Oryza sativa Japonica Group: one gene and its partner. The protein of the gene in region 2 interacts with the protein of the main gene of each other region in a pairwise test. Links are inferred from orthologs where the notes say so. Each region holds a gene or a part of one and is shown on either strand. Other genes may lie near its edges.

Region 1 (4,360 bases), on a different chromosome or scaffold from region 2:
AGGGGATCACATCTCTGCAATATTGAGCAGATTGCAGTCGCAAGATCAGCATCTACTGCTTCATCTGCTTCAGGATCAGAGTTCTTTATTGCTTCGATAGTTCCTTTGAGTTCATCTGAAGGTTGTAAACCAATTTGAAGAAGATCGAGCAGCAAGCTCAAAGCAAATACGCAGGTCGAATCATGTTTCAGGACCTTGAGACAAACATCAGAGATGCGCTCATCAGCCATCAGCAAGTTATTTTCACCCTTGTACAGGCCTTTGAGGTATCTCCAGGGGCTTTCATTCTGAGGGTTAGCCAGAATAGCCCCAACTGTGTAATCCACTTCCGAGTCACGCATTGCTGCAAGGCCTCCAAGAAGTGGTGAACTTGTTATTACAAGGTATCTCTGTTGCAAAACAAACATAACATACTTCAGTGTAATCATTTGATCTTAGTTAATCAGCCAAAAAAAGTCAGAAAGGAGACAGTAGTAGGACAAAATACCACGTAAAGCAAGAAGAGAAAGAATCAATGAATTTAGTTAATAAATCATGAACCGGCATATGGATTTTCAGACTACTATTCAAGATGGGACGAATTAAAAGTGAAATTGTATAATAAACTAGAAATTTTAAAGCCAAACAAGCATATCAACTGACCTGATTCCAAGCTGAATTATTGAAGACGTCTTCCTCAAGCAGCTGGTTGCAATACTGTAGTTCAGTCTCCCATCCACCCAGTGCTTGAAGAACCCACTGCAGCAGTAATGATACATAAATTATATTATTAGAACTCAGCTTTCCCTCAAAGGTTTGCTCAGTGCAGCACTCAAATATAGATAAATGAACTCAAACGAGTATCAACAGCCTAATTTTAGCGCACATCGAGAGGAAACATTATATACCTGCCTATGAGACCAAGCATGGTAATTTTTAGCATCCATAGAAAGTATCTTCCTTGTAAATTCGTGCTCTTTATTTGCAATATCTGGTCCTAATTTCTCCGCAAGCCATCTCTTGTGATGCCTGAGAAAATATATATAGTACTGGGACGTTAATCAAGATTTCCCAACAAAAAAGCAGAAGAATGAAGTTTTAATTACAGAACGCTCAGAATTAATGATAGCAAGTATAAACTTCATGAAAAACTCCACAGCTACCAAATATGGGTATAAACTTAATGTCACTCACCAGATTTGATAATTTTTTGGGTTACATTCAGCAATTCGGTCCACAAAATCCATTTCCTCACGCAGATCAGCATCCAGTGCCTCTAGAACAAGACGCCTAAAATGCCACACCTATCAAGCAAAAAAAGATCATTAAGTTCAAAACTGGCATCCAAATGAAATGCATGACGCTAAACACATAACAAGGAAAGACAATTTTACATGCCACCATGTTTTGTTGCTTGTTAAACTCAGAACTGGGAGAAATTTGCACATTCTGCATGCAAAATGCCAATGAGGCAACAACAGATGGCTGAGTACAAATTTGGAGGGAGCAAACAAAGTAAAAGTCCTATTATGGATATGGACTAAAAGCCCCAAACATAATTTGGTACAGTACTACAGTATATTTTAATTATATTTATCTTTCTGATCATGAAAAGTACAGCGGAAAAACTGAAAATTTGATAAGTCTGAAAGAGACACCACCACAGTATGCAGATTAAAATCAAACACTAACTGTTTTCTCCTGCTCTACCATAAATCTAGACATTCTCAATGCGTCCACAAGAAAAAAAAATTAATCAATTTTCCTAAATTTGTCTTGCCGCGTTGTGTCTCCAAAACAACATTATATATGCTAGTCAAGCTTGCCATCACAGTTATACTTTTATAATCAAATTCCGAAATAGATAAATCCGCCAAGATACCACTAGCTAAGCCGGAATTTGCCAATATCCCAACATGCTACTCTTACTATAACAAGTGAAGGCTAGTTCTACATGTACATAGGCCTTGTTTGGATGCTCCGAGCTATTAAATAGCCCTCCGGAATCTTGCTATTTAGAAGTATTAAACATAGATTACCGATAAAACCGATTCCATAACCCCTAAGCTATTTTGCGAGACGAATCTAATGATGTATATTAATCCACGATTAGCGGCTGATTACTGTAGCATCACTGTAGCAAATCATGGATTAATATACCTAAACAGGGCCATAGTTCTAAATGAGCAAATCTCCTGCACTGCAAATTCAATTTCCAACATGAAAAAAAAGGGGGAATAACACGAGCAATCTCACCGTGTAGTTGCCGGGATTAAGGTCGATGACCTCGGCGGTGAGGTGGAGGGCGCGGACGCTGCGCTCGCCGGCGAAGTAGAGGGCGCGGAAGTAGTCCATGACCTCGCGGAACTCGTCCCGGTAGGCGATGGCCACCACGGGGTGGGGCCCGTCGTCCTGCGTCACGGGGACCACGTCCGCCAGCTCCGGCCGCCGGCTGGGTGGCAACCACTCGTCGGAGGCACCCTCCGACGACGTCGACGACGGCGCCATCGATCAGATTCTGCTGCAGCCAGAGAAATCAAACAAAAAAAACACAAAAATCGAATCAAATCCTCCACTAACTGCAGTCCTAAACCGCAGTGGGATGGATGGATCTCCACGCTCACGGCTCACGTATCACTCCACGCCGGCCTAGGATAGTAGAGGAACTCCACGTAGGCGGTGGAAGGGATCAGGTCTCTCTTCCCCCTACAGCGCCGGCGAAGGGGAGTCGGATGTGGCGGCGGCGGCGGAGGAGGAGGAGGAGATGAGGGGGAGGGGGGAGAAGAACGCGAGGGAAACCTCACCGGAGACGGCGGCGGCGGCGGCGGCGAGGAGGGCGGCGCGGCGGTGGCCGCGGGTCGTCGTCGAGAAGACGGCGAGCGGAGGAAGGAGGAGGAGGATTGGAAGCGCTATGACCTTAATCCAGCCATTGGTTGCTTCTTCAACGGCTGGATGGTGATGACTGCGCTGCTTTGACTTGCAGTCAAGGCTGTAACTTCAGCCTATATCTGCACCCACTTGTCATGGACTCAATGGGTTCCATATAACATTGTCACAGGGTGATAGTAACAAACTAAAGAGTACAAAAAGAGTAATCAGCAGAATTCAGAAACGAACTTAAAAACAGTGCAGGATTCAGGTTTTGGTCCTAATTACTCCATAGGATTCAGGTTTTGGTCCTAAATACTCCATAGATTATTTACTTCAAATATAAATTACTCCTTCCATCCCAAAATATACGTTTGCTAGTAGTATGTTTTTTCCAAAGAACTTTTATCTATTAGATTGCTTACACCACTTATAACATATTTGTTAATTTTTTAAAAAATATTTAACCCATAATCGAGAGGATAATCCATTGCAATAATCTGGTAAATAAATCGTTTGAAATAGAGCCTATAACCCACAACCAAACAAACTTAAAAATGATAATAATTCAACAAATCAATACTGGTGATAAGTGATAACTCAGCATAACAAACTCAAAAATATTTGGCAGCTGAACAACGAATACTGGTTTTGAGTTGTCATGAATTTTCATCATAATAATACCACACTTCCGAGGGGGAAAAAAAGCCCAAAAACGACACAAAAAACATGGCTGGAACTCTGAAAGTATATTATGTACAGAACTGGTGATCATCGCAGCTTGTGATGAAATTTGCAGCGCCACACCGAAGAACTACTAGTTTACTACTACTTGAAGAAGAACTTCCAGATCTCCCTCTCTGGGGGCTCAGAGACGAGGTGCGCGCCAAATGCGCCTTCTTCATCCACCAGGGATCGGAGCTGCCGCACCGCGCTGCTCGAGCCGATGTAATTCTTCCTTGCAGCAAGGTACATCACCCCATATGGCGGCCTTAGGCACTGCAAGAACCAAGAACAGAAGTTTTAGTGCGGAGTACATGTTAAGGCTATGAAGCAGGTTCTGTTCCAGAGCAGACGGCAAATTCGGACAATGCATTTGATATTATCTGGATAAACGAGAAGGATGAGATGAAGACAGTCCCAGAAACAAGGGGAAAAGAGCCTTGCAGCGAAGCTAAGCCAATTCCTAAGTCTAATGCCAAAAAAAAAAAAAACTCAGTTCTTGGTCTGCTGTAAAGTCTGATATAAGGAAATTCGTCTACCCATACTAATCTCCTGCATATCAATGCAGAGTGACCTCAGGGAGGAGCTCTACACTCATTCTGCGCTTATCGCTATCATATTATGCTAGTCATAAGTCATAACAATGCAGTGATTGTCTGTATGCTGTCTATATATGATGTCTCATGGCGAGAATTTCCTGAAGAAAAAATGTATGGAGAACAAACCTTTTTTACGAGCAAATAGAGGTTTTGAAGAGAGCTTGCAGAATAAGGGATCTCATTGACTAACA
Region 2 (4,368 bases):
TTGGCGAAATGCCACCCAGCCCTTAATTGTGAAGATAATCCACAAAGCAATTATCAGTGTTATAATAAGTAAATGCTGTGACAGCCACAAACTACTATTAGTGTCTATATGGTGTTTTCTAATACATCTACTCAGCATTGTACAACTAGAAACCGAAGGACCACATCCAAATACCATGGTCTTAAAAGTTCACATTGCCTACCACTAAACCCATGGAAATTAGAAGTAGCGCTACACAAGTTGGAATAGAAAGAGAACTGAATCAATCAACAGAGGTTTCCTTACAATCAAGCTAGCCAAATCAAGTTTGTCCACTTCGTTAAGCAGGATCATCGTAGCCAGCCCACAAAAAGTGTACCTTGTCAAACCAAAGCAACTATTACTTAAAAGATCCAAATAGATACATACAGGAAAAATAAAAAAAAACAGAGATCCTCCGTTGAAACATACCCACCATGAGCTTCAGCATACGGTTCCCCAGCAATGCCACCTTCATAGGTTTGACACCTGGAGGCATTTAGTTTAGGAACTAACCAGCCATTCTATATTTTACAGCTGGAAAATTGACAATGACAAGAGCCAAAGCAAACCTTGTTATGTAATTTCCAACACCTTTTGCTAGTTCACCATCAAGAATGTTCACAAGGCTGGCAACCTAACAAAACAAGAAAAAAAAATCAAAGAATTGCAAAGAAAATACTAAGGGAGCAAAGAAACTCACCGATATTGCAGTATAGCTAGCACGAACATCTATTTCACCACCATCATGCATTCTGGTCAAAGGATAATAAAATGAGTGGCAGATATAAGGTGTAAGGAACTCGACATGGAAAGAAACTATTTTCTCCCCACTGTTTACTACTTGAGAAAATGCACACCTGAAAGCTCCCGATGTATCTTTCATCCGAAGCATGAACTTGTACAGGTTGTCCCTGATTTACACCGTAGAAATTGTTAACCATATGATACAGATGGAAGCATATTTAGTCAACATAGTGCCATAAGAATTACCTGTTTACCGATGATAGTGCCCTTTCACTCCCTATAGTTACAAGTGTATTTACAGCAGCATAAGTTGTAGCGAGATGAGGCAACTAGCACAAAGAAGTGAAATTGACATCAAAAAATTCGCCTCATACTAAATTAACCTTATCGAGTGAGTTCGTAAAACTGAACTCAAATTAGGAAGATCAAAGAACAGTCAAGATTGACTATTCTAAAGTTTGCACGAGTTGGATAACACAAGTCAAAGCACTAACTTTGCCATCAAAATGAGAACCTGTAGTTATATAAACACTTTAGGCCATCAAATACCCAAAGATAAATTGATCTTCAGATATTTCATCACATCGAACTTGTTTGAGATGGTCAATTTAGTTAGGGTAGATGTTGAGTAGCCTAGACTGGCCCATCTAGTCATTTGAAGCAAAAGATCAGTGTTCACATGGTTTGTTGAAGTTTTGTATTGCCTAAGATAACGACAACTAATGTGAAATGTTAACCAACTCAAAGCTATATTACCCAGCCACAAGTTTGGAACCCAAAAGTTTGAGGTTAAGAGAAAACCTGTCCAGGTCCTCCGCCATAACCACCATCTTTGTCCTGAAAGAATCATGATAATAATGGCAATGAAATCTTCAGAATCACATGTATGTGCAAATCAATATCTTCAGTTATTTGCTATGTATCCATAAGCAAATTCATGTTGTACCGAACACTTTATGAGAAAGGAAAGGGATAACATGAACTAACTAAGTGGAGCAGAACAAAGATAGTTGTGCTATCCTTGATATGCATGAAAAGTTACATGTGGGTTCAGAAGATTCATTCAGACACCCAGCTTGAGACTTTAAAAATTCCACAAGACCTTAGAAATCTAGTGGAACTATTTCTTCGATTGAACTTTGTTATCACCTCAGTAAAGGAAAGAACAAAGTACTGAAAAATTGACTTGTTGAGTTGGTTTCTTTACAGACGCATGAAGAGTGGTAACTAATGCATATTTATGTAGTAAGAGTAACATTTTTTTATATAATACCAGCAGTTTAACAAACCTGACATCGAGATAAGAAGTCCACAATATCATCCTCAACATCGTCAGGTATTTCATCCAACAGAGCAAGTGCATGAATAATCCAGTAGCACAGCCAAGGTCGACTAGAACATAATTTTAAAACCAAATATATACATCAACTTCGCATAATCTCATTTTAAAACCATATTCTGCTATATAATTCAATACCGGAGAACCATTACTTGGCATCGAGCACATGGAAGCTTGGTCCAAGATGTTTCAGCCCTCTCGTCAAATACTCAACATGCTGCTCACGCCACAGCTCTAACCTGAAGCAGTAAACATACAACCAAATCTCGTAATAAGGAGGTGGGGAACATTAAATTCTCAACCTAACTGGTAACATTAAGCTTCTGTGACTGTGAACAACATAACCAGGCTATATCTACACTGTGTAATTGATAAGGATGAACTAATTACGGAACTAAGTCAAGCTAAAATTTAGCAACAACGATATGATACCCGCACCCATCTAGCACATCTCTCGCATCCCAATCCGCCACAGCACTCTACATGCACAAACACTGCGAGTAACTAAAGCAAAGTGATAGCGACAGCGCTCTCGAAGGGTTCGCTTACATGAGGGAATTGGCGTTGGGCGCGTTGCCGAAGAGGACGCGGTAGATTTCGCCCACCTTCGCCTCCACCTTCATCTGCTCCACCTGCGTCACAGTCAGCCGGGGCAGCTCAGCGGCCTGGCTATCCGCTGCCGGACCGCCCTCAGCAGCAGCAGGAGGATATGGCGGCGGCGGCGGCGGCGAGGGGGGGTCCATGGGCGCGGTGGTCGGCGGCGCGGAAGGCGGCGGCCTGCGAGCTCGCTGCAGCCGCGGGGATCTCACCGAAAGGCGGCGAACCATGTGCGAGCCGGAGAGGCAGCAGCCGTGGCCGCGGTGCTCTTGTGGGCCCCGGAAGACGGGGAAAGCGGTCAAGCCAACAACCAGAAGGCCCATTGGGCCTTTGCCTATTTGGGCCTATTCCCATCGGACGACTCAAGTGCAGCCACGTACGCAAAACGCGGCCGAGGAGAGGCAGTCGCTCCTTCTGCTTGGCGGCTGGACTGGAGAACGAACGGCCGCCGCATCGTCGCGAGGTTTTTAGGGGAGGGAGCCGCCGGAGAAGGGGGAGGAGAGGAGGAGCGCGCCGAGGTCGGAGGGAGGAAGGAGGAGGAGAGAGATGGCCGCCATGGTTGGAGCACGCAGGGCCCTCCTAGCTGCCCGTTACTCGCCTCGCGGCGCGCTCGCTTCGCCCGTCCGTCGCGTGGATTCGCCGCCCAGGTACCGCACCGTCGCCCCACTAAGCCCTACGGCGAGTCACTGTTTCCTTGCATCAATCTTGGGTATTCAATAGCGTTCGTTTGGTTTAGTCTTAGTTCTCTCAGAGAACTTGTGATCTTCTGTGCTAGAAGGCTAGAAGCGAAGCCACAGATTTGCAGTCCTTTCTCTAGAGAGAGATTTTTTTTTAGGAAAGAAATTGTCCTTTTCTTACTTGTTCATGGAGGCCAATCATGGTTTGAAATGGAAGCTGTGGCACTCATGCGCCGAACGCAGATACAGGGTACTTGATAGTTGTTGTTCCTTTTTTATGCTGAAATGTTCCCACTCGTTCAATAATCAATCCCGACTTACAAGTCCAGAATACATAGCTCCACAAAGCTGAACAAACTCGTTTTACTCTCTGGATTTCCAAGTTGATAACCTGATGATCGTGTGTTTCTTTCCTGTAAATTCACTTTCTCCATTGACTACTGTGCTGCAGTCTTCCAGCTGACAGAGGTTGTCTGTGGCCTTTGGTTCCACATCGAGGCGCTGGCAATTTCGCATCAGAACAGATCGATGGGGACTATCACCGCGAATGGGGAGCACGTAATGATGGGAACTACAGGGAGCCCCATCGAACTGATAGTCTCAGCCACCAAGTTCAGGCAAATCTCCCTTCAACTGATTCCTCTGTAGGAGCTGATAGAATTAGAGGTGTGAGTGGTGATGGAAGTGTCAATGCTAATTACAGACGCAATCCTGGGCAACCGGAGTTTCCAAATCGTCATGAGCCGTACAGTAGTGCAAGGGTGAATAATGGAGCATCTGGATATAATGACAGGCAACCCTATGGCAGTGCCAATGCACAGTACAGAAGCAATTCTGCGCAGCCTTCCCAAACAGGTGGACCATATGGATTTGCGAATCGTAATGAGCCATATACTAGTGCAAGAGTGAATTATGAAGCACCTGGATACAATGACAAGCAACCTTATGGTGGTGGTACTACATACAACCAGCAAATCGCTAATGGGGATC

Evidence for each region.
Region 1: the proteins of protein farnesyltransferase subunit beta (region 2) and protein farnesyltransferase/geranylgeranyltransferase type-1 subunit alpha interact in binary tests that used the Arabidopsis thaliana proteins (3 or more experiments, as listed by UniProt). The link is inferred for Oryza sativa Japonica Group from reciprocal best matches to the Arabidopsis thaliana genes ERA1 and FTA.

What each region holds. Positions count from the first base shown.
Region 1 is NC_089043.1:24,433,754-24,438,113, reverse strand, and holds the start of protein farnesyltransferase/geranylgeranyltransferase type-1 subunit alpha, read right to left. Parts: upstream 2,893-4,360; 5' UTR 2,784-2,892; intron 2,501-2,783; exon of another isoform or gene 2,498-2,500; 5' UTR 2,488-2,497; coding exon 2,236-2,487; intron 1,284-2,235; coding exon 1,174-1,283; intron 1,009-1,173; coding exon 888-1,008; intron 739-887; coding exon 643-738; intron 390-642; coding exon 1-389. Other genes in the region: uncharacterized protein, read right to left, coding at 3,676-3,846, 4,296-4,360. UniProt on the Arabidopsis thaliana protein: Essential subunit of both the farnesyltransferase and the geranylgeranyltransferase complex.
Region 2 is NC_089035.1:31,375,929-31,380,296, forward strand, and holds the start of protein farnesyltransferase subunit beta, read right to left. Parts: upstream 3,040-4,368; 5' UTR 3,025-3,039; coding exon 2,654-3,024; intron 2,556-2,653; exon of another isoform or gene 2,537-2,555; intron 2,344-2,536; coding exon 2,257-2,343; intron 2,158-2,256; coding exon 2,055-2,157; intron 1,603-2,054; coding exon 1,567-1,602; intron 1,095-1,566; coding exon 1,012-1,094; intron 933-1,011; coding exon 879-932; intron 774-878; coding exon 722-773; intron 656-721; coding exon 591-655; intron 508-590; coding exon 451-507; intron 359-450; coding exon 286-358; intron 22-285; coding exon 1-21. Other genes in the region: pentatricopeptide repeat-containing protein At4g32450, mitochondrial, read left to right, coding at 3,248-3,348, 3,830-4,368. UniProt on the Arabidopsis thaliana protein: Catalyzes the transfer of a farnesyl moiety from farnesyl diphosphate to a cysteine at the fourth position from the C-terminus of several proteins having the C-terminal sequence Cys-aliphatic-aliphatic-X (CaaX).